7 linked regions of the Mus musculus genome follow. The protein of the gene in region 7 interacts with the protein of the main gene of each other region in a pairwise test. Links are inferred from orthologs where the notes say so. Each region holds a gene or a part of one and is shown on either strand. Other genes may lie near its edges. The genes, in order: Ddx6, Tshz3, Kifc3, Hck, Wac, Rgs2 and Mtus2.

Region 1 (3,500 bases), on a different chromosome or scaffold from region 7:
GCCTGCGGAGGCCAGAAGAGGGCATTGTATCCCCTGGAACTGGAGTTCTCAGGCAGTTGTGAGCCTGTTGATATGGGTGCTGGAGATGAACGCACATCTTCTGGAAAGAGCAGCAAGTGCTCATGTCCAAGGAGCCATCTCTTTAGCCACCTATTTTAAAATATAGTCAGGATTTTTGGGAAAATGCACATAAACAAAACACTTGTTACTGCTACCAGATATTAAATTTGGTTATTCCTAGTAATCAGGAAGTAACTGTAAAAATAACTTTATGGAGGCAGTCATATTATTGAGTGGTTAGCTTTTTAAAGTTGTGTTTAAATATTTAGCTGTGTATAGATATTTTTTTTTTGGACATTTGGGAAACCTATAAAATAGCTTACTAGTGAAAGTAAAGTTGTTAGTCAAATTGAATATTCATAAGAAAATTGAGACTCTTGCTATCAGGCACCTGCCTCCAACTCCATTTTTCAACTTTAAATAAAAAGTTGGCTTAAGAGCTGTAAATTCAATCCCAACATTAAAAGAAGACAGACATTGATAGTATTACTACACTGGTTAATTGGTTTATTTGTTTGTTGAGTCAGGGTCTCATGTAAGCCAGGAGAGCCTAAAGTTCAGCTTGGGATGGCCTGCTTCCTCTTCTGAGACAAAGGATTGTGGGTACTGATATGCCAAGCTTTACCTGATCTTGGAATCCTAGGATTGCCTAGGGTTAGGGTTTTATGCACTGCACTCATTCAAGATTCTTAATGTATATGTGGAATGCTTTGGTATATAAAATCCTACTTGTTAGGGTGGCTGACACAGTTTGAGGCTAGCCTGTGCTACAGATTGAGTCCTTGTCTCAAAAAAGCAAAGTAATGAGAAAATGCCACTTCTCCTTCAAGGAATGTTAAATTAATTAGAAAGTTGGTATTAAAACTTGCGTACCATGTAATCTTCATTAAAAGTACTTGATTTTGCCATCTCAGAATCAGCCTTAAGATGGAGTACAAATGAATGAGCATTAAAAATAAAATTGTAAAAAACAAAAAACAATAACAAAACTAGTTGGTGCCAGGTGTTGTGCAATCAGCAAGCACTTGGGGTAGGGGCAAGAAGGTCACTTCAGGTTCAAGACCTTCCTGCTCTCTGCTAGCCAGAGGCCAGCTAGAACTACAGTGACCTGTAGTGAAGATAGTTGAGCTTGGTTGACAAGGGAGTAATGTAATTATTATCCTAGTGGTTATTGGAATACACAAGAAATAGCTGTCAAGTCGTTTCAGAAGGGACGGGGTTTTAATTGGCTTTATGGACTGGGTAAATTTGATGTGGAGAAAAAAAGATTTCAAGTTTGAAGACTTGGGTTAAGAATAGTGCATAAAGGTCTACACAGAACGGCAGTGTGTGCTCCTAATCCTGACGTTTGGGGGTTTGACAGAGGAACACGAGTTCAAGACTAGCTTGGGCCACCAGTGATCCCCACCTCAAAAAGAATTCAGTGTCGTGAGTGGTTTTGGAAGGTTGTTGTGAGAAAGGAAGGAACCCTGATTATGACCCTGTTGTGAGCGTGAGGGACTTTGCCTATTAGTTTACTTAGATGAGTTGTAAATTGTTTACCATAAGTGGATGGAGGACTTCTAAAAGCATAATTAGTGAATTACCTTTCAATAATGAAAATCATTACTTGTTTGTTTGTTTGTTTGTTTGTTTTTTCAGATCTGTTTACCCGAGGTATTGATATACAAGCTGTGAATGTGGTAATAAACTTTGACTTCCCAAAGCTGGCAGAGACCTATCTTCATCGTATTGGAAGATCAGGTAAGTAAGAATGGGGGTAGCCTCGCAGACATTGCTTGATGAGAAATACAATCTTTCATTTTTCCTTTGTGAAGTAAAGTATAATAGCTGTGAGAGCAGTGAAATCACATCAATTGACTTGTTTGATATTTAAAACTAAGTAATTTTTTTATTAATCATTTATATTTGGAGACGGGGTCTGGCTACATACATAGAAAGCCCAGGTTATACTGGAACTTAAAATGTACCTGCCTCAGTCTCCCAAGACCTTGTGTCATTTATTAGAGTTAAGCCTGATAGAGCACCTGAATCCAATCCTGATACTTACGTAACAAGAGAGAAACAGCTGTCAACACACACACACTTTTTTTTTTTTTTTTTTGGAGACAGGGTTTCTTTGTGCTCTGGCTGTCCTAGAACTCACTTTGTAGACCAGGCTGGCCTCAAACTCAGAAATCCGCCTGCCTCTGCCTCCCAAGTGCTGGGATTAAAGGCGTGCCCCATCATCGCCCGGCTAAATTATAAAACTTTTTAAAGAATGTTCTTTAAAGGTAAGCTGACTGTATGTGGTGTACACTTGGGAAGAGGAGGCAGGTGACATCTGAACACCTGTGTGTTAGAGGCCAGCTGGGGTTACAAACTGATTTTGAGGCCAGCCTCAAACAACATGATTGAGACCCAATTTCGGGGGTTGGGGGAGTTAAAGTAAGCTGGAAATGGTGGCACATACCCTGTAATCCTTGTGTTTGAGAGATTGAGGCAGGAGGATCATGATTATAGTTGGTAGGGGGGTTGGGAGAAATGGGTTTGCTCTCAAAGAGCCTGTAAAGCCCTCTGTTTGATTTCCAGTACCCACATCAGGTAACATAAAAGCACTTGTAACTGCACCTTGTTAATAACAAAAAGTTAAGTCACATAGTATCTCACAAGAAGAAAGAAGGAAAGAAAGAGGTTAAAGTAATTACTATATACTTAAAGTGAAACACAAGAAAACTGGATTGATTGAATGGTGTAGTGTACAAGTGTATTGTTCAGTGTGTGTATTTTGACAGTCGTACAAACGAGTATCCAGTTTGTCATTTCAAAACCAGAAAATTAGGTATAGCTGTCCCTCGGGGTTCATGAGCAATGGGTTCCAGGACCCTTGCCAACATCAAAGTCTGGGTAGTCTCTTAAAAGCATGTGGTATTAGCATATAACTGGTGTCTATGTTACACTGTATTGTTTAGGGAGTAGTTGTCCAGAAGTCTGCTGCCTGTTCAGTACAGTTGATGTGCCAAGAGAAAGACCTAAGTTGTTTTGTTTTTTATTTGTTCAATCTTGTTTGTGCCATTCAGAATGCCACCAAATGAATATATTGCTGCTCTGTGTTTTGGCATATTACAGACTTGTTAATACATGTTGCTCTCAAAACATGTTAGATAGATACATACTTTTATATTTGAATCACTTTATTTACCACTTAAACTTTTTGCCAATTTTAAACTCATTAAGCACATTTTTCTTTAGGTCGCTTTGGTCATCTTGGCTTAGCCATCAACTTGATCACTTATGATGATCGCTTCAACCTGAAGAGTATTGAGGAGCAGCTGGGGACAGAGATCAAACCCATCCCAAGCAACATCGACAAGAGCCTGTATGTGGCAGAATACCACAGTGAGCCTGCAGAAGACGAGAAACCGTAACAAGCACGTATGTACCTAGTAACCTGACAGAAC
Region 2 (4,300 bases), on a different chromosome or scaffold from region 7:
AATCATTAAAGCTGTCAGGAATCCATCAGGTTTACAGCTAATTAGGTGAACACTAATGAAGCTGGCAAAACAACTTTTCTTTTTTTATGGCTGAGCGGACCTTTCAGTTTTGGGGAGGGGGGGTGGGTGGGTTGCTCTCCAGTATTCTCAAGGTTGCTGTGGACAGGATTTCCAGTCACCAATCAGCAGACATCTTTCTTTTTCCCACCGTCTCTCTATCAGTACAAAGCAATCAATTTGTTATCGCTCCCAAGATGTCACCAAAGCAGCTTCGAGAACTAAAAAAAAAAAAAAAGGAGGGAAGCAGAGAAGTTCCTAGTCCATCTATGCAAACCAGCAAACAAAACAAAGCAGGCATCCTGCACAGCACAGCTCACTTACTGGCCTGGGCAACTCACAAGCATCCTAACCGTGGAATGGTTTTGTGTGGAGCCCTTCAGCCATCCTGCACCCCCTCCTCCACGAGTCCATTAGGCAGAGGCATTCTGATAAAGTAAATCCAAAACCAGAGTATGAGAAAGAAAGAAAGCACTCATTCTGCCAACTTCTGATTGACCATTAAGCTATTGATGAATGTGCCTGTCAGGAGAGAGACAATTAAATCAAATATGAAACAAAGTCGTTTTGACGGGTCATTTTGATAGAGCAAAGCCATTCTTCCATCTCCCATTAGTCGGGCAGTCAAGTTTTTATATAATGAATTTTCCTTAACTGACCTGAGATTTCCTGGCTGGCTTAGAAGTGCAAAAAGGTTAGTGAACAGGTTGCTTTAAAAAATAATAAAAATAATTTAAAAAATTTTTTTAAAAATCAAACCAACAGCACGTTTGAGAAAATTGTCCTATGGGCTGGGTGGAGCAGTAAAGAAGAGCTACAGAGTTCAAAATAAATGTAAAGATGCAACCACATATGTTTCATTGGATGGAGGCACGGATACCTTAAAAAATGTGTACCCGAAAAAGAAAGAAAAAAATCTAGACTGGAAGAAGCCCAAGACATTCCTACTACCCAACTTTGTAAAGGATGCCTCCAAAGTTTTAGAGTTTATTTTGGGTAGATAAGCTCACTGCTAAAAAGCTTGGAATTTAAAGGAGGAGGTGGGATGAGCAGGCAGCATCAGTGAGGAGGTGAGCTCTCTGTTGGGATCTTCAAACTTTCTAAATTTGGGTAACACTGAGAGTACAGAGGGAAAACATGCCTTCATTCTATGCACCAAACCAAGTTGAATCCCCCTCCCCCCTAAGGTTTCTTCACAACACTGTCAGACCAATACACTTCTGGGAGAAGTACCTTATGGTTGCTTCCCTGTGACCCTGGTAAAGAGACTGAAGGCCAGAGTGCAGCTGAGGTGGGAGCCCCGCTGGTCTGATGGCAATCACCAGCAGCAGCAGCCTGCATAGCACCATCACTAGCCTGTATCCCACCAGCACGTGGAACATTACCTCGGTGACCCTTCTTCGCTCAGCCCTCCCCTCTTTTATCAAAAGAGAAGTGAGAAGAAAGAAGATTAAAGAAAAGGACTCCTAAGCAACCTTCCCCTTCAGGCAGCGTCTGAGCCTCTGCACGTCTGAGTGTTATTCATATCAAAATACATCACGTCCATATGTGGTCCTCTCTCGGCAAGCCGCCCCAAATCCCTGAAGTTGCACTGACAGGGCCCTCCTGACGTCACGGAGCTTGGCCTCACTATTGCAAGTGATTTATTGATGTTTATTGGGAATGAATAGATCAAAGGCACAGGCATGACGGGCGATCAATCAGTCATCAAATCAAGGGTGGCAACCGGCCAGAAACCCTTCTTCCAGCCAACGTGCCCCCAACCGACATTATTGCAAAATAATGTTATGTGTGTGGGTTTTGTTTTGTTTTCAATGAATCTCTTTTCCAGAAGGAAAAAAAAAAAAAAATCAGCTCAGTCCTAACAGGAGTTGACGTTCCTGGCAGAAAAAGAGAGGGAGGGGGGAGTACTCAGATATGTCCCAGAACTAAGTGCTAGAAAAGGGTAGGGAGCAGCAGCGGAAAGAGAGGGAGGGGGTAAGAAGACATTCAGGAATGGAGGAAATGTCAGCATCCAACACTGACCTGACAGTCATCTGACAATACCCAGACCCAGTGCGCTCTGGTTTCCACCGCTGTACCGGGTTTGGGCCCAATAAATGAAGAATCAATCGAATTAGCAGTAAGGTGGCCAGAGGGATCCGCTAGCTCACTCTTGCTCGCTCTGGTCCCGGTAGTCACCGGGTACTGCCCGGGACAACGCGGAAGATGTCCCAGAGAACTCAGGTGACCCCGCCCGCCCCCCACCAAAAGGCACGGGTTGGAGAGCGCCTTCCCCGCTGCAGCCGGATCGGCAGAGGCGGGGACCTAAGCCGGCTCGGTGGTCCCCAGGAGGGTGTGCGAGCCGGTCGAGCGAAGAACATAGCGGGGCAACTGGGGGGCGCGCGCACCCGGGCAGGAGAGCCCCGAGCCAGCCGGGCTCCCGGAGTTACTCAGCGCCCGCAGAGACAGACAGAAAATGAGAGAGAGGCGAGGAGTGCGGCGAGCAACGCGGGGGCCGGCGGCCCAGAGGCGCGGCGCGAGCAGAGGAAGAGGAGGAGGACCGGAGGAGGAAGGGGAAGCCGCTCGTACCTGCTGCGCGCCGGGGCGCCTGCTGCTTCCTCCTCGGCATGATGCTTCTCCCGCGACTGCCACCGCCGCCGCCGCCGCCGCCGCCGCTGCCGGGCTGAGCCGAGGGAGGGAGGGGCGGCGGGGGGGGGGCGAGGCGGGCCTGCTCGCAGCCTCCCCCCCGGAGAGCGGCCGCCCGCAGGATGCTGCTGCGCCCCGGCTCTCCGCGTCCCCCCCTCGCTGCGCTCCGCCGCGATCCCCGAACGTGCGGAGGGAAGGAGGGCGGGCAAGGGAGGCGCGGGGAAGGAGGAGCGCGAGGGGGAGGAGGAGGCAGAGGAGGAGGAGGAGGAGGAGGAGGACCGCGCTGCCGGCGGAATGGGAAGTTTGACAAATCGCTCCAGAGGCCCGAGGAGGAGGGGGCGGGGAGGAGCGGTCGCCCTGCCCCCCCCCCGCCCCGTCCCCAGACGAGGTGCGCGGGGTTCGGGGCTGGGGGGCGGGGAGTGAAGGAGGAGAAGGCGGGCAGAGAGATGAGAGGAGGAGCCCAGGAGCGACCCCGGTCGGTCCTGCCCCGCTTCCCGCCCCCAGGCAGGGAGGTCAAGGCATGGGGGGGGGGGGGGTGGAGGGGGGGCGCAGCCGCCGCCGCCGCGGCCCGGGGCTCAGCGGTCCAGTCTTCTGCCCACGGCGCGGCTGGAGCGGCGGCGTCGGCAACAGGCAAGCTTAAAGGAAAAGGAGATGATCGTGTCACTCGCCTGCCCGCGGAGGCGCCCCCAGCCTGGGTCCTGGCCCGGACGCCTGCCCAGGGCCCCCCGCCCAAGTCCAGACACCCGGAGCTGGCCCTCCGTCTCCGCCCCGAGCGCTCTCGCAAAGGCGCGGGGTCCGCCCTGCGGAGCGCGTCCCGGGGCGCCCACAGCCCCCGCCCATCCCTCTTCCCCACCCGGTCTCAACCCCGGGCTGCTCCCGGCTGCCCCTCCCGGCCCACACTCCTCTCCACCCGCCGCGTGCAGCCCCAGAGCGCTCCCCTAGTTGGGATGGTACCCCTATCAAAGATGCCAGGGCCCCGGGGGTGCCCTGGAGAGAAGATGTGCGGGCTGACATGGGTGTGGGCTCTGGGTCTTCCCTCCTGGGACCTACAGTGGCTACCTCCTTCCGTTCCCCCACCCCACCCCCGCCACAAACTTTCCCAGGCTTGTTTCGGGGGTAAGCATGGGAGGGGGCACCTCCAAGTTTCCTTTACTGACTTTGGGACGATCACCGTCTCAGCACCCCGCGTCTCGCCCCCTTGGGCTACTGGCCGCGCCCCCCACCCACTGCGTCGGAGGTTGCCAAGGCGGGAACGGGGGAGGGAGAAGAAACTCGGGTTCCCCTGCCCATCCCCCGCCGGGGTGCGCCCTGGACAGGGTACTGCCCCAGCCGCTCCCAGCTTAGGGGCAGTTCTGGACGAAGGGGATTGATTATTGATTGAGTGATTGGGGTCGCAGAGGCTCCGGGCAGACTCGGCCGATGTGCCCCGGGAAGGAGGCGGCTGGAAGGCTGCGGTGGCGACAGGGCGACGTGGGCTCACTTACTCTGGTGGTGAGGGCGCGGGTGGGCTGGAATTCACGCGGGCGACCCTCGAGCGGTGGCGGCTGAGCGCCAGCCAGAGCTTGAGAGGCGCGGGCGGCGGCGCATCGATGCGCTGCGGGCTCGATTGCGTCTC
Region 3 (3,500 bases), on a different chromosome or scaffold from region 7:
TTCTTGTCCACTCTTACAAGCCACACTCATCTCGGCCTGGCTGGAATTCAGAAAGTGGGGTTCACAGGACAGACAACTCTCCCTACAGCCTCACAGCCAAGACCACCTCAGACAGATGTATTTCCAGGGTTCCAGAGTCACATCTGCCCCTACAATGTGCTAGCACATCTGGATTCTGTTGTCTTATCCGTTTGCAGATGAGGAAATGAGGTGCAGACTGGTAGTTACCTAGCCCAGGACTAGTAAGTGCTGCCAGAGTCAGGGTTTACTCACAGCTCAGGAGGCTGGCCATGTCTCCACAGGGTTGGACCCTACAGAGCACAGCTACAGATACCATCCCTTAAGAACATTGTAATAAACACATAACCAAAAAGCCCACCAATAAAACCTGAGCAGAGGCTAGATACAGTTTTGAATTCTCAAGTCATCTGAGGCCTGAGGGTGGGTTAAGGTCCACCTTAAAGGTGATGAGAGGAGCGGAGCTAGGGACACCAGAAAGTCTGAGCAGTTCACTTTCGACTCCACCCCCCACCTTTTTTTAAAAATTATTTTATGTAAGTACACTGTAGCTGACTTCAGACACACCAGAAGAGGGAATCAGATCTCATAACAGATGGTTGTGAGCCAGCATGTGGTTGCTGGGATTTGAACTCAGGACCTTTGGAAGAACAGTCAGGTGCTCTTACCTGCTGAACCATCTCAGCGGCCCTCAACTACCCCAATTAACAAGCAAGTAGATTCCATCAATTACAGAGGAAAATGTTTTGACTGGGAAGACGCTCAGGTGCCGAAGACACTTGCTGCAGTAAGATACCAGGTTTGAACCTCCTCACCCTACAGCGTCTTCCCGAACCAGAAGAGCGTCACCATCTGGCTTCTGGTGGAGTCTAGGTGCCCTGACAATGTCCTCTGACCTGTTCCCCAGAGGGCAGTGAGTGGCCTCTGCTCATCCCTGCCTCCCCAGGTACCTGGTTCTGCAGCTGGGTGGTTGTGGCTTGCCGGTCACTGTCGTGGAGGGCCAGCCTCTCCCGAAGGACTACCAGCTCCTCCTGAAGCTGGGACATGGCCTCCACGGTCCTATGTACCACGGGGTCTGGGCCTGGTGCCCCGGACAGGCTTGAGCACCTCCCGATGCCAAAGAGCCGCCCACCTACAAGCAAAGTAGTGGCTGATCAGCAGGAGAGTGGAGGTCTGCCTGGAGGAGGGAGGCGGCCATCACAACAGGGCGCACCATCAGGGCGGGAAGAGGATGCTAGCAGGTGGGGCTGAAGGATACAGCAAAATGGGTTTGCAGGGGACCTCCAGGTTGGCCTCTGGGGAAGTCACTTTAGCTATAGCTTCTAGGGGACAGAACTGCCTAAACCAAGACTGAGGAAAACCATTTTTCCTGAATCCCCTCAAACTGGTGAATTCCAGCCAGGGCTAGTGCATCTCTCAGTGGCCAGCCCTCAGGCAATTTCCACTTGGAAAGAAAGGTGGCTCACTCAGAAATGGCTCTCCATGCTAATTCCCGATCTCTCAAAAGCACAGCAGAGAGTACCAGACTTAGTCAGCTGCTCGGTGTGAAGTGGTCACCTGTGCACGTGGAGGAGGGGTAGGGGGCATGTCTGTGAGCACAGACAGGCCAGCACATGGGACAGACCAGGGGCTAGGCACATTTTCAGGTTGATGCCTGTACAGGGGTCTGGGGGGGGGAACTGGGGTGCAGAGGGGGGTTGAGTGGAGTGTCACACAGGCACAAGAGAGGCCCAACTCCTCCTCCCCCAATACTTTCTACTGTTCTGTCATCAGGATGGGAGACAGGACAAGCATCAGGGGCTGTGATGTGCAATGGGGCTGTTCCAAAGCTCTGTGCAATGAGGAACCAGCAGCAGTCCAGGGGGAACAAGAAAATGACTTGCCTTCTCCCCTCAGCATCCCAAGCTGGGGTCCTGCAAAGAGTCTGGGCATTCGGAGGGAGGCCCAGTGCTAGCTGGGGAGCCTTCTATTTCAATGCAGCCTTAGCTTCTGGCTTTCTCAAAGGTGAGGGGCCACCCCACACCACTAGCAAGCCTTGACCACAGTTCTGCAAAGCCCCAGAGTGGCACAGGGAAATGGGAGGCAGCAGCGGTAGCTGGGCTCCCATGGGTGGGGCTAGTGTCCTCCCACCCCCCACCCCCCCCAGAGATCCGGAGCTGGACAACCCGTGCTAGGCAAGTGGCCCCAGCTGTGTGGCTCTGCATGTGACACACAGCATGAAAGTCACACGGTACAGGCCCAGCCTCTGTGATCTATTCTAGAGGGAGTAAGGGCAGCCCCCGATGCTTCTAGGTCGGCACACGGGGCTGCCACAGATGACATGTGATCAGTATGGCCACAGACTGCACTGGTGCGTGACAGAATGTGCTGGCTTGGCTGAGAGCTGGGCTTGCCTCTTGAATCACATTGAAGGGGGGACCCTGTAGGCTCTTCCTGTGTGAAACAGGGACGATGTACCTAGCCCAAAAGCAGCCCTGGGAAAGTAGCTGGGATCCCACAGGTAGCACAGGTCCGAGTGTCATCCATGACATGGCTCCTGTCCTGGGAGGCTCTGAGCCCCAGACCTCAGCATGGTACCCCGTGTAAGAGGGCCAGGAGTTGAGTGGAACCTGCAGAGTCATGGGTAGTGGAAGAAACTCTCTTGAAGCTAAGGGAGGACTGAGAATGGGAAGAAGGGAGGAGAGGCGAGGCCCAAGGGACCTTGCGCAGACCAAGCCCCTGGCTGAGGAAGCAACCACCTGACCCAACAGGCCAGTTTCCAGAGGCATGGCCCACCACAGGGCCCATGGCTCAGGTGCTGCACCAATCCTCACTGCTAAGAGGACCTAGCCTTCCTCCTCTGGACCTGCCCCACCTTGCTGGCCAGATGGTGGCCATTTTGAAAGCCTGCCTGCCCACTGCTTACCCACACCCTATGCCTGCCCTGAATCTGGGTGGACCAGGGCTCGTTCGTACGGAACAGGCACTGGTTCAGACTCAGAGAGAAGGGAGTGACATCCTCCAACAACCTCAGCAAATTCAGACACACAGACTCTGAGAAAGCAGAAGCACCTTTTCCTAGTACTCCTGGCCTTGTCCTGAGGCTCCGTAAGGTGTTCTCTCCCTGTGTTCATTGGCCAGTACTTACTGCCGAAAACCCAGAACCTGCAAAGGAGCCCGGAGAACCTTCTAAATAAAACCAGCTAGCTCTAGGTGCCACAGCGGTCAGAGGATAATGGAACTGCAGGCTTAGGTGTCTCAGTCTGGGGGGAGGGGAAACAAATCCCTGACCTCTGGATCCTCTGACCAGAACACGGCCAGGCCTCTGCCAAAGGGACCCGGTGGCGAAGGGACCCGGTGGCGTCTGGGAGGCTGCTCTTGCGCCCTGCTTTAGGTAGGTACTGGGAAAAGACAAAAAAGAAGGGAAATCCAACCCAACCTCCAGTGGCCAAAGTCTCTTATCACTGGGTGTGGCCCTGGGACAGACACATGGTTGTCCGTGG
Region 4 (3,500 bases), on a different chromosome or scaffold from region 7:
GATGGTAGGCATATATCACTAGGCCTGACTCAATAAATTCACTCTTACTTTCTTTTAAAAAAATAATAAAATAAATTACTCTGTCTCTGTCTCTCTGTCTCTCTCTGTGCACGTGTGTGTGCATGTGTGTGTGCACGTGTGTGTAGGTCAGAGGATGATCTTTTCCAGCAGTTCCCTCTTTTCAGTGTGGGTTTCTGGGTTTGAACTCAGATCATCAGGTGTTTGCAGCAAGCCCTCTTACCCAGTGAGCCATCTCTCTGGCCTCACTCTGGCTTTTACACATTAACCACCCTGCATACACCTGACCCTCAAGTCCTCAGCTGCAGGGACTTGCCACACACTGTTCTCTTGCTCCATCCCACCCTGCTTCATTTAGTGGCTCTGGTATTATACATGCTTTTCTTTCTCTGTGTATCTTGGATGCCAGGAAGCTCAAATCCAGATCTGTGGTGTTTGTAGTGAGAGCATGGGGGTCTCATGGGACAGTTTTTTGTTTATTTGTTTGTTTGTTTGTTTTGTTTGTCCCAGCTTTGCTTCTCAGATCTGTCTTTCTTCCTTGCACTTCCTTATGGCTTCATTTACTCAGCACCTGGCATGTAGAGGGCTCTTGGTAAATGTAGTTGAGCCACAGGCTTTCAAAACTCACTTTATCTGGCTGAATGTTTGCATCTCTACAAGCTCCGTCCTTTCCATCTGCCACACAGGGGAGTGTTAACATGGTGGATCAGGTATTGTGACCATCTACCTCTCCTGTTCTCAAGGTACTGGGCCAAGGACCACAGGGGTGTGCTGGCCTTTCTGGTGTCCCATCATGCCTGGAATGTCACTGGACATTGTGGCTCATGATCTGAACAGCTTTGTCTTTAGTTGCCAGCATTGGACTCACCTGAAAACCCAAGCCTTTCCCCTCACTATGAATTTTCACCATCACAAGAGGCCCTGAGTATGCTAGCCCCACAAGGTAGCCTGTTCCCAACTCCATACAACTCCCATCCAGGACTCGAGCAGTTCTTTGACCTTTAAGCCTGGCCACAAAGGCAAACTAGTGATTTCCCAGTAGACAATTTGGTTTGCTATCTGAGGAGTGGCCTCCTGTGGTTATTATTTAAATTCCCCACTGCTGGGTGATATCCCTGTACCCTCAGGGCCCTCCCAGCTCTGGCTTTATGGACTCTGGCCCCAGCTCCTTACCCATCCACACTTCTCCAAACTGCCCAGCTCCAAGTTTCTTCTCCATCTGGAGGGATTCTCGAGGAATCTCCCAAGCATCTTTCTCCCATGGCTTCTGGGGTTTGGGAGACACACAGGGCACTGACAGCTTCTGGCAGAGCCCATCCTTCCCCTCTGAAACAGAGTGCCCAGTCAGCAGGTGGGACATTCCCCAAATCGCAGAGCATGATGAATGACACCTGTATACCGCCACCCTCATGTCCAGCCAGCCTAAACCTTCAGGGGTGCCCAGCGTGATTGCCTGTCCAGGCCAGGAAGTCTGAGTGCAGAGCTGCATGCCACTGGGGTTCTGAGAGACAGGCCCCTCCTAGTGGGGGCTCGTGGTATGATACAGTACTTGCCTAGCAAGCAGTAGACTCTCCTTCTCCAGAACCAAACAACCATTGCAAAGCAAAGCCAAGGTGCTGAGGAATAAAAGCTGTGGCTAGTGACTGCTTCACAGCCTGGCCACACTGTGCAGTGAGGAGCAGCTTAGGCTCTGCAGTCAAATGTGGAGGCGTGGCCTCGAGCAAGACTCACTCTTGTAGTGGAGCACGAGTTCCTGCAGGCTGCTGAAGGTGCTCCTTGGAGAGATGTAGAAGCCTCCACTGTCCAGCGTCCGGATCTTATAGTGCTTCACGGTGTCTCCGTGCTGGGGGTCAAAGTCTCGAACAGACAACGAGTAGCTCCCTGTATTGGTCCAAGAGAAGCCCCTCAGAATGGCACCTTAGAAGCCTGCTACCTGATGTCAGTACCTTGGCATCCTTATGATGCCCCGCAGGCCTCTCCTGGCACAGCTGGGCATGTGCTACCTGGGCAGAAGCTCATTTCATTAAGAGTGGGCTGAGGCATTGGGCTGCCTGGGTTCCCATTCCAGCTCTGCAGTTCTCAGCTGTGAGCCCTTGACCAAATGACCACTGGACCTTTTTATGCCTCAGTTTCCTCGCCTGTAAAATAAGAGTTGTTATGCCTTTCCATCTCATCAGTTTGCCCCATGATTAACAGAAGTAATACTTGTAAGTGACTTGGAAAAGTAAGCTGACTGTCACTATCACATCATTATTCATCTATGTATCTATGTATCTATGTATCTATGTATCTATCTATCTATCTATGTATCTATCTATCTATCTTCTATACCATTTATCTGTCTGTATCTATTTAGTGAAGAAAAAGCCAAGATACTATACTAATTTGAGAGAGAGAGAGAGAAACTGAAAACATACAAATAAAAAGAACAAAGAAAATCTGGTCTGATTACTAAAGTGTGAAAATAGGCACTGTGGTCAGCTGCATAGTATCCAGGATGCTCTTATGTGAACACCTGCAGCTGGGAAATATGTGACCTTACATGACAGAGTGTCCAGGGGTGTCCCAGGGAACTCAGAGGGGTCCTTAACAAAAGGACTCAGTTTGTGAACATGCTAGTGGAAATAGGTGTTGGAGAGGAACAGCCATGAGCCAAGCAGCACTTGTGGCCTTTCAAAGCCCACAAGGACAGAAAATGAAATGGAGCCCTGCCCCCGCCCCTACAAGACTCCAAAATGAGCCAGCCCCACAGACATCTTGACCAGAGACCAGCAAACTCAGACTCTTGGCTTCCAGAACTGAGAGACAATACAGATGTGTGGCTCTAAACTGTCCAGCTTACAGTAATCTATGATTTGGATTGTCACACAGACCAGAGATACACAAGCATTCCAATCTGTGGCCGCAGTCCACCACGTGTGAGCTATGTTACCTAGCTTCTCTGCCTTTCATATTTCCTCCTTCTTATAATAGCACAATGTCATTGAGGGAAGTTTAGATTGTTGAATGACAACTGACAACAAGCCAAGCTGTTCTAAGCATGCTGGCCAAATGAACAGTGAATGACAGGAACAGTGTGCGTTTTCATCAATTAAAATTACTTGGATCGTATCATTCATCATAGTGAATAGTCTCACGAGGCAGATGCTTTATAGACGTATCAGCCTCACTTTATAGGTGACATACTCACTTGGAGTCACACAGCTGGCAAGTAGCACATTTGGGTTCCAAGGCTGTCCGGTTGGCTCCTTCTTAGCCTATCCCAGTCAAGGGGAACCTGGTGTACCTGGTGCTAGACAGGGTGTGCAGGATCTGGAAAGCAGCCAAGTGCTTGGGACCGTGTTCTAAATCAGGCAGATCCCCAGCAAGCCCCCTCCTCCAGGGGGCTGTGGAAGCGAGTCCAGGCCACCTTCCTGTCCACAGGTCTGTCACTGGGCTGTTGGTTTCTTTGCCTCTCAGTAGAACTAGACAGGTCAATCTCT
Region 5 (4,291 bases), on a different chromosome or scaffold from region 7:
TTCCTTTCTTGGGAAACTGTTCAGGAACTCTCCAATCACTAGTCACCATTTAGAAGCCTGTATTTGTAACTGCACTATCAAACACTGTGTGTTCATGCTGATACCATTTTCCCATAGTGCCTGCTGAATTAAAAAACAAACAAAAAATGGATTCAAAGTGATAATACTAGTACATGGTAATGTGCTGACTGCACTGTTTTCTCTAACTCTCCCAGGACACACACATGACAGTTTAGCCCGAGAGCTACTTACCACCGTCCCTTTCTCTAACTCTCTGAGTGTGCACGTTTTTGGCCTTGTTGTGACCTGTGCTGTCACTGTATTTGTTTTCAGGACTATTAGATCTCCGCAACATTTTGTTTGGTGGTGAAGGATCTGCGGCGTCTCGCATCTTTTCATGTCTGTGATCACCACTACTGGGGTGACTCTTTGAAGAATACTTAAGTGCCTGTAAAACATCACCCCCCCAAAGAGAGAGAAAAATTGAAAACTTAAACTCAATTCCCAATTTAAATGACAAATTTTGCTATGTCAGGTTCCCTTACATCAAAATTCAGAATTTCCATTTTCAGTACTTCCCTTACTCAGAGAAGAGGGAAAGGCTCCAGATTTCCTATGCAACTCCTGATAACAGATGCAACCACAAAACACACACTCACACACACTCACAAAAGAAAAGAAGAGAAAAGAAAAGAAACCTATCTGATCATGTAAACTTTTTTTAAACAGTATTTTGGCACACTGACCTACCAGGAAAAAAAAATTCTTCAAAACTAAAATCAATTTTTGAGAGCTTAGATTACTATCCACTTAACCTCTACAACCAATGCATCCAAGCATGTCTATAAATAAGCATATTTTAATAACCACAATTTTCAAAAAGACAACAGTTTTTCCTCTTTTTTTTTGATTCAAATAAAGCACTGTCCCTAATTTATAAGCTCTTTCAGGGATAAATTAGTTTTTAAAATGTAACATGATGTGCCAAAACAAACTGATACATGAACAGTGTTTCTAAACAGGAAGAATTCTAAATGCCCTCAAAATAATGGTTTTACACTGCAGGTGTCTGAAGAGGAACCCAGTGTTGCAGTCTGGGAGGGAAGGAAATAATGTTTGACAGATGCAAATATTCTGACATCCCAGAAGCTCCTGTACAAGAGTCAGGCTGGAAATGTGCTGGCTCCCACGTGTAACCAGCATTCTGAAGACTAGACAGGAGTAAAACTGGAAGCAAGCCTGGACCACGGAACCTTGAGGGAGACACAGATCTGTTCCTATTTTCTCTTTTAAGGGTGATTAGAGGCATAAAGTATTTACTTCTGTTATCTTCAGACAGTATCCTGAAGACATTTCTGCAAACCTTTAAAACTTTACACGCAAAACCTTCAGTGGAATAGTAGAGAATCATTTCTACTAGCATGAATTACTAAGTAAAGGAAGGTTTAAATTAACTGAAGCAAAAACAAAACCTTTTCTTTGAAATAGCATAATCTGAACTAAATAAATAAAATGGTAAGAGTATTGTTACTGAGAGTAACTCAAGTTACTGCTCTCAAGCCTTTACTCTACTTTTACAACTCTCACATTTATCTTTCGGCTCCTCGATAGAATATTAAATAAATGGGCCTCTGAAGTCAAATATCACTACACTTCAGTGACTCCTTCACATTCAAGCCAAGCCAGGTCTTCCTGTTTCCGAGTATTTTTTTCCCTTAAAAACAAACAGGCAAACAAACAAAAAAACAAAAGGCAAAACAAACCCCTGTGCTTCCTCTAGTCACCTCTCAAGATGCATTTGGAGAATGCTAATAAAACCCAATACTGAATTTTAAGCGGACCAGTGGTGCTACTTTCAGATTTGTTGCACCAAAGGGCCTGTAGCGACTTCTGAAGCCTGCGCTCGAGTAGCAGTCCCTCCCTTCCCCCTCCAGCCCCTCCAATCCCTCCACCCAGGATCGGCTGGTACCTGGAAAGGCTGAGAGTCCCCTCTCCGGTCGTGACAGCTGAAAAACAGTAAAGAAGGACCGTCCTGTGAGACATCGCGGGAAAGGAAGAAAGCGGGTCTCCCGGCCGCCCCTCCCCGCGGACCGGCGGACAAACGTACCAGCGCGGATCCGCGCGCGGCGGACGCTCCCCGGGCTCAGAGGCCCGGGTTCGGACTCAGGCCGCAGCCACAGCCCGCTCGTCCAGCCCTCCGGGTCCCCAGGGCGCCAGCCCGTCCGCCCGGCCCGGCCCGGCCCGGCGCCTCCTCCGACCGATCCCGATCAGGGTTAACAACAAAAATGGCGGCGCGGCCAGCTCCCGATAAGGACGCCCGCCCGCCCGCCCGTCCGCCCGCCCTCCGCCGCGGCCCGGCCCGAAACGAAAAGACGATTTACCCATCACTGAGTCTCTGCTGTTTCCTCGCATACATTACCATCAATGCCCGGCTGTGTGTGTGTGTCGGGGAGGGGGAGAGCGGCCGCGAGGCAGGCGGGCGGGCGCGCGGGCGGCGGGCGGGCGGCGGGCAGCCCCGGCACCAGGTCTCAGCGCACCCTCGGCGGCTCGCGGCACCTCCCCGTTACTGGCGCCGGCGGTCCCGGGCCATCTCCCTCCGTCACCACCGCTTAGGGCCGGCTGGGGCAGAGGTGCCAACTACGGGGCGGCAGCGCGAGCCGGGGGGAGGGGGTGAGAGGCCGTGTTCCGGTCCCCGCGGAGAGCGAACGCCTCCAGCACCTTCCCTCCTCCTGCTCCGCCGCCGCCGGGTCCTTCTCGCCGCCTCCTGCCGCTGCTACAGCCGCCGCCGCTCCACCAACTACATCCGGGCAACTCGGACGCAGCCGCCTTCGGGAAAGCTCGGCAGTTTCCGCCACACCCCCTCCTCCCCGCCCCGCGAGGCTCGAGAACGCCGCCTTCGACAAACCTCGGCTCGCTCCCGCCCTCCTCTTCCTCCGCGGCCTGGGCTCCTCGCCCCGCGACCCGTCAAGCCCTTCCGGTTGCTGCTTTCCTCGCTCGCGAATCCGGCCACTCCCGTTCCACTTTAGGGGTAATCGTGCTCCGGAGCCTGCGTGAGGCGAGCCCCGGGGCCTCCGGGCTGCGCAGGGTGGGAGCCACCTTCGGGAAGAGAACCGTGGGGCGCGAGGGACGCCATCTCGGACTAAATGCGGAGCGGCGGGAGCTGCGCGTGCGCCCAGAGGCGCTACGGCGGCGGGGGCGGGGTGCCCTCCGCGAGGCGGCCGTGTCCCCCGCCCCTCGGGCTCCGTGCGGGGGTCGGAAAGCCCCTAATTGGGCGGCCCGGACGGTGGTCGCGGAGCCTCGGCGGGCCGCGACGGAAGTCACACTCGGCGGGCCGGGAGAACCCAGAACCGCGGCTGGTGCTGCCACCCAGCAGCGCCGACCGCGCGCCTGTGGCATTGGCCATGGCACGTAAGTGCCCGGCCGCACGGAGCCTTCCTACGGCGACTCCTGTGTCCCTCCTAGTTCTTCCTCTCCGTGGAAGGAAATTCTTTCCAGAGTACGGGAGTACAGAAAATGAGCGGTGTAGTGAGTGAGGTTGCTATAAATTATTTGCGATTCACGGGGAGGAAACTTATCAGTGACAATCTTTTCTTGGTGGCAGTCCACTGCCTTTTTATTTCCTGGAACATGGGTTTAACAGAAAGAATTGCTACGTAAGCAGGCTAGAGAGGTAAAACACATAAGGATTAAAAAAAAAAATTGAAAAGACTACTCGGTATCCAAAAGGTTACATTAATCCTAAATAGTGTAATACGGAAAGAGACCTTGAAATCATAGCTGAAAAGATTTTTTAAACTAACAGTGTCGGCTTGTCAGATCCACTTGTCAAATGTTAAGTTGATTATTATGGCAACTAGTAAAACCCTGCTTAACGCCCACAGAAGCTGTCAGTAACTAAGAAAAAAGGTTGTTGGTGCCTGAAGTGACTGGAGGGCTAGAGGGATAGGTCATTTGTAACATTTTTTAGCACAAATTAAACACAAAAAAAAGTTAAAATGCCCTTAATGGGGGTAGTCAGATCTCTCCTATAAGGGTCCTTTGGTCCAGTCCCAAACACTAAGTTGGAAGAGGGGAAAAAAATATTACGTCTTGCACGGAAATTCTAAAGACTGGCACCATTATTCTTATTCCCTTGTGGTGAGGTAACACAGGGCTGAGCTAAAGGAGGAAATGTTCAAGATGTAGGAGTGATACTCAATATTGTGTTTGCAAACTTACACAGTAAAATTCATTTGTCACCCCCACATCAGCATGCACCCAATGTACACAGATGTGAGAATGACATACCTGA
Region 6 (3,994 bases), on a different chromosome or scaffold from region 7:
AGACCTATTGATTTTAAATGCTCCAACAACATTGCATCGGATCTTTCATCTCAAACTCTGCTTTCCCGACAAGGAGGAAGAACACATTCAGAGGCCTGTTCCCTCCCTCTGTTCTTCACACAGTGAGGGAAGCCGTTCTCACACAGAGCCTCTCCTAGGTTGCTGACTTCCTGATTCACTACCCAACATTGAATCAATAGTTCTGAGCGATGTTTTCCTAACACTCAGGCTGAATTCAAGGTCAGTTTTTTTTTTTTTTCTGGCAGGTCACAGCCTTTGCTCTTGGGAGACAGAATGGAATGTCCTTTGTGTGTGGGGGGACTCCTGGTCTCATGTAGCATGGGGCTCCGTGGTGATCTGTGGCTTTTTACATAAGTCCTGGTAGAATTCGGACTCCAAGAACCGAGGATAAGAATTGTTCTCCATCAAACTGTACACCCTCTTCTGAGCTGTGGTGAAGCAGCCACTTGTAGCCTCTTGGATATTTTGGGCAATCAGAGATTTCGTTTGGAAGTCTATGTTTATCTGAAAGAACAAAACAAAAGTCCATTTATTGGCTAGTCAACACTGCAGATTGATGCTTAATAATAAAACATAAAGGTGTAACTTGTGATCAGTTATAACTGTCAACTTTGGAGAAACTTAAATGTTAGGACAGCTGGGATGAGAGGCGCACAGGGCTCTTCTCACTTGTGCTTGAATGTGGTGTATTCAAGTCTCAGGTTTCAACAGTGTTGAAGGTGATCTGAGGCGCCTGTCTTCTTACCTCTTTGGGAGCTTCCTTCTCTATGAAGTCGGTATAGATTTTCCTTGCTTTTGAGGACAGTTTTTGGGGTGATTTGGTTTTTTTGAAGTCTTCACAAGCCAACCAGAATTCAATGTTTTCTTCACAGAACTCGGACTTTAAAAACGCCCTGAATGCAGCCAGCCCATCTGGAAGCACAGGAAAAGCAGCATGAATGGAACGACCGAATTATACACAGTTCTTCTGCACAAAATGATCAGTTTCCTAGACTTCATTCAAGCCTGTCATTCTCTAGGTCTGGCTCTTTAAGCACTAAGATGCCAGTAGGCAAAAATGCTTAAGTTTGTAGTCTGCAACAAAAGTATACTTAACTTCACTGGCACTGCAAGACCAGTGTTTATAGGCCATAAGTTCACTAGGAACTAGGGCTTTTGAAAATATTCTATGCAATGGAAAAGCTGACTCAACCACAGCCTGAGTAACTGGCATTTTAATTTTTAGGCTAACTTTTCTTCCCCACCTGAGGTGAATACCTCTTGCTTCCCCATGATTAAACCCAGTGATATAAGGGAAAGAAAAAGAGGCTTTGAACTGTCAGTGGTGGTAATGTCTAATGCACTTCTTGCAATCATTTCTAGGCTTTTAAAGATACTGGTGAGAGATCACATTCAAGAGGTGAACTTACATTTACTGGCCAGCAGTTCATCAAATGCTTCTGCCCAGAGCTGCGCTTCCTCAGGAGAAGGCCTGCAAGAGAAGTTCCGCAAATGAGCTCCCCAACACACATCAGTTCCCCTTCCCCTTTTGCTTGGCTTGGTTAGATATTCATCTCTGTAACTACAGGATCCGAAACTTACTTGATAAAAGTTTGCTGTTTGCTTTTCTTGCCAGTTTTGGGCTTCCCAGGAGCAGAGGAATTCTGCAAGAAGTAGCTCAAACGGGTCTTCCAATCCTTTAAGCTGGAAAAAAAAAGAGAGAAAAAAAAAATACTTCAAGTGGCAATTCTTGAACGGTCAAACTATCATCAGCTGCAGTAGCTACAAACAAAGCAGATGAGTCTCTCCCTCTTAGCTTTTAAACCCAGCACCTCAGAACACAGTTTTATCCATTCATCCGACTATAATGAGCTTTACAAGCAGGATAGGACTACATAACAGCCAGGGTATTTTAAATTTTCACCAGTTATTTCTGACCTAATAAACAGGTAGTGGATTTTCTGCATGGTTAAACTACAGCTTGCTGTCATTTTTCAATTGAGAACAGCAGTCTTGACCCAGCTGATGTTTCTTCCCTTTCTGCACTGGGGGTAGGAGGGTCTGCACTATGCCAGAGACAATGCATAGGTGTGTGTGTGTGTGTGTGTGTGTGTGTGTGTGTGTGTGTGTGTGTGTGATGGATTCCCTAGCTCCCCTCTGCGACCGCCCACAGTGCTTCTCCGCAGCAGATACTGCAGAGCAAATTACTCATTCCATAGTCGTGACTGGGTGAGCCCTACTTTATGATTTAAAAATGGATCTCATACATTGCGAATCAACTCAAACATCTCCACCCAGCAGCTATGCAAGCAGCTCAGAACTAACAATGCAACGTCCAGACGCCGGTGGACGTTATTCAGCTACAGGATTCTGATGCCACATTAAATGCAGAACAAAAAGCCAACCAGCCCTTCTCAGATCATCTACCGCCACCTTCTTCAACCATTTCCTATAGTTCCTAAACTCTCGGAGCTCACATAGAAAAAAAGCAAATACCACCATATCTAGCAAGCTAACCCCCCACCCCCCAAGCCCCCACACTTTCTCTGCAGAGGTGCAGACTAGAGAGCATTCAAAGCCGAGATCGAGGGAAGGTAGGTCCCTAGCAGCAAAGCCAGGCTGGGTATGAAGAGCTCTTCGGGAGACAGGGCATACTCACAGTGTCCGCTTCATTTTCTCCCGCTTCTCCTCGACCTTGGGGCCGTTGCCTGCACTCTTGTCCATGGGTACGCAGTCGTGCTGGACAGCCAGGAACATGGCACTTTGCATTCTCAGACTCCCGCGGCCACCGCAGCTGTTTGAGGCCGGGAGCGCGCCGCGGGCTTTTAAGGCGGGCGGCGGCATAGGGGCGGGACCTGGAGGCGTCAGCCACGCCCCAAGAGAGCGCGGATTGGCTCGCTGCAGACGGCACGAGGGCGGAGTCGCCCCGGCCTGTGGCAGTCACGGCAGCCCCCGAAGGGCCTGGAAGCGAGGGCGCTGTTGACGTAGGCGCCGCATCCTCGTGCGCACACAGGGTGGGAGGTGGCGGGCGGGGACACAGAGAGATTTGGTAGGCACTTCGGGCAGCCACGCGGTGAAGGGTCTCCGAGTTCTTGGCTTTTCCTTTACTGAAGACCGTACCTTTTACTCGTGTGCGTGTGTGTGTGTGTGTTCGCGCGCGCCCCACCTTTGTATCTATTGTTCATCCGGACACCCATAAACTGCAGCTGGGATGGGGAGAGCCCTGCTGGCTGCACTCAGCAACTCTACCTATTTTAGAGAAGGAAATCAAACAACTAGAAAAACCTGAAATATGGACTGTTGAGTAAGGTGCTGTAGCTCGCTCAGGCACCTTGGAATTCCTAAAGGGAATTCCACGCTACTCAGGGAGGAAGCGGGAGAAAGTTTCTATTAAAACCTGGTGTTTTAACCAGTTCTGCAGTTTTGATCTTTAAATGCATGGCTGCAGCAGGCTGTGGCTTTGCAGGGTCGTTCCCCAGGAGACCCGAGGGGCATCTCCTGCGGGGCACAGCAAAGATCAGAGAGATAGGTGAGAAATACAAAGGGAAACCCAGGATCTCGCAGTTCTGCTGCACACGGATCATGTGTAGTTTCAGAGCGTAAGGAATCAGGATTTCCTCATGAGTCATTCACGGTTGAACAGATTTAGGAATTACTAGATGTTCAACTGCTTAAGTTAAGGTGGCGGTGCAGTGGGGGCTAGAGCTAGATGTGAGAGCCGGTTGGTGTAAAGAATTTGTTTGGGTAAGCTTCATTTGTGAGAACCCCTGTCTCTGCTCCTGCAGGGTTTAATAAGCCCTGATTTGTAAGAACTAATACATGACTTCAACTACAAACTGATTCAGCTTCCTATGTTACCAGAATGATGCGGCGGAATACCTAAGTGGTTTTCCCATAAAGTCTGAACAGACTAACAAAAAGGTACGGCTTAGGCTCTAGTTATTCTGATTCATACTAGATCTACTAAAAGGAAAATGAAGACCCATTCTCAAAC
Region 7 (3,123 bases):
AGAGTTTAATCGGGCTGGTTGGGTCCCCCGTTTGGAGCTTCCAAAGTAGTTCTTCGTTGGTTCGGCTCAGTCTCTTCTTTTCCTGGGTCTCTTTCTCCACGTATTCCTGGAGGTTTGCATTTTCCTCCGACAGTTGTCTGCACGAAAGAGAACAATGGTTAGGCAGCAGGCAGGCCTACTAACGCAACTGAGGCTGACGGGCAGAGGCCAGGGGCGATACCTCATGGCTCACAAGTCTCTCTGCTGGGTTAGGGGAGGTTGTGGCAGTCATGCACAGAGAAAGGTGAGAGGCTGGAGCGGAAAGGGGGGAGATGGTAGGCCAAATGAGCATGCTGCCAGAAGCCCATAGGAGGGGTCGCTTAGAGAGATGGAGATTGCCTCTGGCTGTGGTCAGGGTACGGACTAACAGCTGCCAGTCATCCAGGAAGATTTTCCCGCTACCTCCTGCCCTAGGTACATGCCTCTGTGAGCAGAGTCATTAGCTCTGCTGTAGAGTCGGTCTGTCTACCTGTCTGTCTGCTGGACCACAAGCCCTAGAGGGCAGGGGTGGAGGCTCTGTTATGTTCTTGGATGGCACTCAGAAAAACAGATGTTTGTTCACTGTTGGCTAATGAAGGGGGCAGAAAGGCATGTTGTGTGTGTGTGTGTGTGTGTGTGTGTGTGTGTGATATGGTGCTTAAGTTGCTGGCTTTGCTGCATGTTTTCAGTAATTTCTATAATTACTGTGTGTAAGTGTTCTGCCTGCATGCATGTCTGAGAACCACTTGCATGCAGTGTCTATGGAGGCCAGAAGAGGGCGTGGGTCTCCTGGAACTAGAGTTACAGATGGTTGTGTGCTGTCAAGTAGGTACGGGGAATCAGATTTGGGTCTTCTGGAAGAGCAGCCAGTGCTCTTAACCACTGAGTGGCCTGTCTATTCCATTATGTGTTTTAGAAGTGAAAGATCCTGACAGAATGTAAAAGGTCACAGAAGCCTTGAAATTGGCAAAATAGATTTCATTGTTAGCAGAACTAGCTTCACTGATTTAGAAAAATAGAGGTGTACAATGCTCTGGCTGCTCCTAGAACCCATGTGTCTGCCAATGTTCTGACCATTCCTTAAACCCATGTGTGTGCCCACTGATGAAGCCCATTGCCAGGTGTTTGTGATATTGGTTGCTGGGGAAGAGTCAGAAAATCTCCCCAGCAACTACAGCCGGGGCCAATCCTGAGTTGCTGCACCTGCACCAGACTCTTTCCTTGACCCCTCCCATACCCATTTCTTGAGACTAGACATTGTTTAGATTGGGTAATCCCCTACTCCCTCCTTCTCCTTTCCCCCCTGGGGGCCTATAAAAACTGGGACCCCTTTCCCCTCGGGGTCGACTCCTCTACCCCTGTGTGGGGTACGAGTCGTCCCCAGAGCTCTGGCTTCCCCCCCCCCCAATAAAGCCTCGTGTGGTTTGCATCAAGCTTGGTCTCTTGTGAGTTCTTGGGGGTCCGTTATTATCCCGAGACTTGAGTGAGGGTCTCCCTTCCAAGGTCTTTCATTGGGGGCTCGTCCCGGGATTGGCGCGACCACCCACATCTCCGAAGACCCACTTGGAGGTGAGATTTCTTGTCTAAAAATATTTCTGTGAGCCGGGGATGTTCGGTGCTGAAATTTGCAGCTGCAACGTTTCATGAGAAGCGGAGACCTGCACCTCAAGATGAGGCATGGAGTGTGAACAGCAGACATGCTGGAATCACCCACTGCCCGCTCTGGGGGATGCCCTGGAGTGAGGGGAAGGACTCCAGGAGTCCGTCTGGGATGGGGAGTGAAGAGTTGGTAGTCTTCCTAGATTGGAGGACTTATGTACTTACCTGACCTTTTGCATTTCTGAGTTGGTTTTGTCTGTCCATTAGAAGATGGGCATTTGTCAGTGTGTGTGTGTGTGTGTGTGTGTGTGTGTGTGTGTGTACCTGTTTCGTGTTTTCGGTGATTTGGACAATGGCACAGACTGTAATGACCCCCCTAAGTTTGACTTTAGACCACTGGACTGAAGTTAGGTCAAGGGCCCATAATCTTTCAGTAGAAATTAAGAATAGACCTTGACAGACTTTTTGTGCCTCCAAGTGGCCGACTTTTGATGTAGGATGGCCACCGGATGGGACTTTTGATTTGACTCTTATCTTTAAAGTTAAAGCCATTGTTTTTCAGAGCAGACCTGGGTCCCACCCAGATCAACAGCCTTACATTACTGTCTGGCAGGACCTCGTCCAGAATCCATCGTCATAGATCAAACCATGGATTCCCCAGTGTAGGTCAGGCTCCCGAGCCCTGACTCTTCTCGAAAACAAAAGTGAAACCAAAAGGTTCCTCCCAAAACGGAGCCTCCTCTTCAACCCACAGCTCCCCCCAAGTTCCTTCCCCTTCACCCTATCTTCTACCCTCCCCCGCCCCCTGGGTCTGCTCCTCCACAGCACAGCTGGAGGGATGGCAGCCAGGACCCGGAGACGATGAGCCCAGATTCCCCCAGCAGATGGAGCTCCTGACACCACTTCTGCTTTTCCTCTGCCAGCTGTGGGCGACCTGCCCTCGGACCCGCAATCTCTGCAGATCTGTACAGTTGGAAAGCTAACCATGCTTCCTTTTCTGAGAATCTGGCCAGCCTGACGGGGCTGGTGGAGTCTCTTATGTTTTCTCATCAACCCACTTGAGATGATTGTCAGCAGCTCCTCCAGGTTCCGTTTACCACTGAAGAAAAAGAGCGCATTTTCCTGTAGGCTCAGAAAAATGTTCCCGGAGTGAATGGAGTCCCAACCAACCTACCTAATGAGATTAACACTGGGTTCCCTCTGGACCGGCCAGATTGGAACTACAATATGGCTCAAGGTAGAGAGAGGTTGGCAGTTTACCACCGGGCTCTGATCTAAAGGGAGCAGCGAGATGCCCCACCAATTTGGCTAAGGTAAGAGAGGTGATGCAGGGTCCTACCGAGCCCCCATCTGTTTTTCTGGAAAGATTGATGGAAGCTTATAGACGCTAGACTCCTTTTGACCTGACCTCTGAGGGTCAACAAGCCGTGGTTGCTATGGCTTTTATAGGGCAATCAGCATCAGATATTAAGAGAAAGTTACAGAGACTAGAAAGATTACATGCCA

The links.
Region 1: the proteins of Mtus2 (region 7) and Ddx6 interact in binary tests that used the Homo sapiens proteins (3 or more experiments, as listed by UniProt). The link is inferred for Mus musculus from reciprocal best matches to the Homo sapiens genes MTUS2 and DDX6.
Region 2: the proteins of Mtus2 (region 7) and Tshz3 interact in binary tests that used the Homo sapiens proteins (3 or more experiments, as listed by UniProt). The two-hybrid records come from large-scale screens. The link is inferred for Mus musculus from reciprocal best matches to the Homo sapiens genes MTUS2 and TSHZ3.
Region 3: the proteins of Mtus2 (region 7) and Kifc3 interact in binary tests that used the Homo sapiens proteins (3 or more experiments, as listed by UniProt). The link is inferred for Mus musculus from reciprocal best matches to the Homo sapiens genes MTUS2 and KIFC3.
Region 4: the proteins of Mtus2 (region 7) and Hck interact in binary tests that used the Homo sapiens proteins (3 or more experiments, as listed by UniProt). The two-hybrid records come from large-scale screens. The link is inferred for Mus musculus from reciprocal best matches to the Homo sapiens genes MTUS2 and HCK.
Region 5: the proteins of Mtus2 (region 7) and Wac interact in binary tests that used the Homo sapiens proteins (3 or more experiments, as listed by UniProt). The two-hybrid records come from large-scale screens. The link is inferred for Mus musculus from reciprocal best matches to the Homo sapiens genes MTUS2 and WAC.
Region 6: the proteins of Mtus2 (region 7) and Rgs2 interact in binary tests that used the Homo sapiens proteins (3 or more experiments, as listed by UniProt). The two-hybrid records come from large-scale screens. The link is inferred for Mus musculus from reciprocal best matches to the Homo sapiens genes MTUS2 and RGS2.

What each region holds. Positions count from the first base shown.
Region 1 is NC_000075.6:44,632,392-44,635,891, forward strand, and holds part of Ddx6 (probable ATP-dependent RNA helicase DDX6), read left to right. Parts: intron 1-1,701; coding exon 1,702-1,803; intron 1,804-3,291; coding exon 3,292-3,467; 3' UTR 3,468-3,474; intron 3,475-3,500.
Region 2 is NC_000073.6:36,696,618-36,700,917, reverse strand, and holds the start of Tshz3 (teashirt homolog 3), read right to left. Parts: upstream 2,801-4,300; 5' UTR 2,669-2,800; coding exon 2,629-2,668; intron 1-2,628. Other genes in the region: Gm36722 (zinc finger X-linked protein ZXDB-like), read left to right, coding at 2,808-4,055. UniProt on the Homo sapiens protein: Transcriptional regulator involved in developmental processes. Functions in association with APBB1, SET and HDAC factors as a transcriptional repressor, that inhibits the expression of CASP4.
Region 3 is NC_000074.6:95,125,558-95,129,057, forward strand, and holds part of Kifc3 (kinesin-like protein KIFC3), read right to left. Parts: intron 1,151-3,500; coding exon 969-1,150; intron 1-968. UniProt on the Homo sapiens protein: Minus-end microtubule-dependent motor protein. Involved in apically targeted transport. Required for zonula adherens maintenance.
Region 4 is NC_000068.7:153,132,468-153,135,967, reverse strand, and holds part of Hck (tyrosine-protein kinase HCK), read right to left. Parts: intron 1,900-3,500; coding exon 1,750-1,899; intron 1,345-1,749; coding exon 1,192-1,344; intron 1-1,191. UniProt on the Homo sapiens protein: Non-receptor tyrosine-protein kinase found in hematopoietic cells that transmits signals from cell surface receptors and plays an important role in the regulation of innate immune responses, including neutrophil, monocyte, macrophage and mast cell functions, phagocytosis, cell survival and proliferation, cell adhesion and migration.
Region 5 is NC_000084.6:7,867,706-7,871,996, reverse strand, and holds the start of Wac (WW domain-containing adapter protein with coiled-coil), read right to left. Parts: upstream 2,801-4,291; 5' UTR 2,423-2,800; coding exon 2,382-2,422; intron 2,305-2,381; exon of another isoform or gene 2,108-2,304; intron 2,007-2,107; coding exon 1,970-2,006; intron 467-1,969; coding exon of another isoform or gene 449-466; coding exon 253-448; intron 1-252.
Region 6 is NC_000067.6:144,001,350-144,005,343, forward strand, and holds the start of Rgs2 (regulator of G-protein signaling 2), read right to left. Parts: upstream 2,801-3,994; 5' UTR 2,770-2,800; coding exon 2,660-2,769; intron 1,705-2,659; coding exon 1,603-1,704; intron 1,493-1,602; coding exon 1,431-1,492; intron 934-1,430; coding exon 767-933; intron 526-766; coding exon 331-525; 3' UTR 1-330. UniProt on the Homo sapiens protein: Regulates G protein-coupled receptor signaling cascades. Inhibits signal transduction by increasing the GTPase activity of G protein alpha subunits, thereby driving them into their inactive GDP-bound form.
Region 7 is NC_000071.6:148,310,320-148,313,442, reverse strand, and holds part of Mtus2 (microtubule-associated tumor suppressor candidate 2 homolog), read right to left. Parts: intron 138-3,123; coding exon 1-137. UniProt on the Homo sapiens protein: Binds microtubules. Together with MAPRE1 may target the microtubule depolymerase KIF2C to the plus-end of microtubules. May regulate the dynamics of microtubules at their growing distal tip.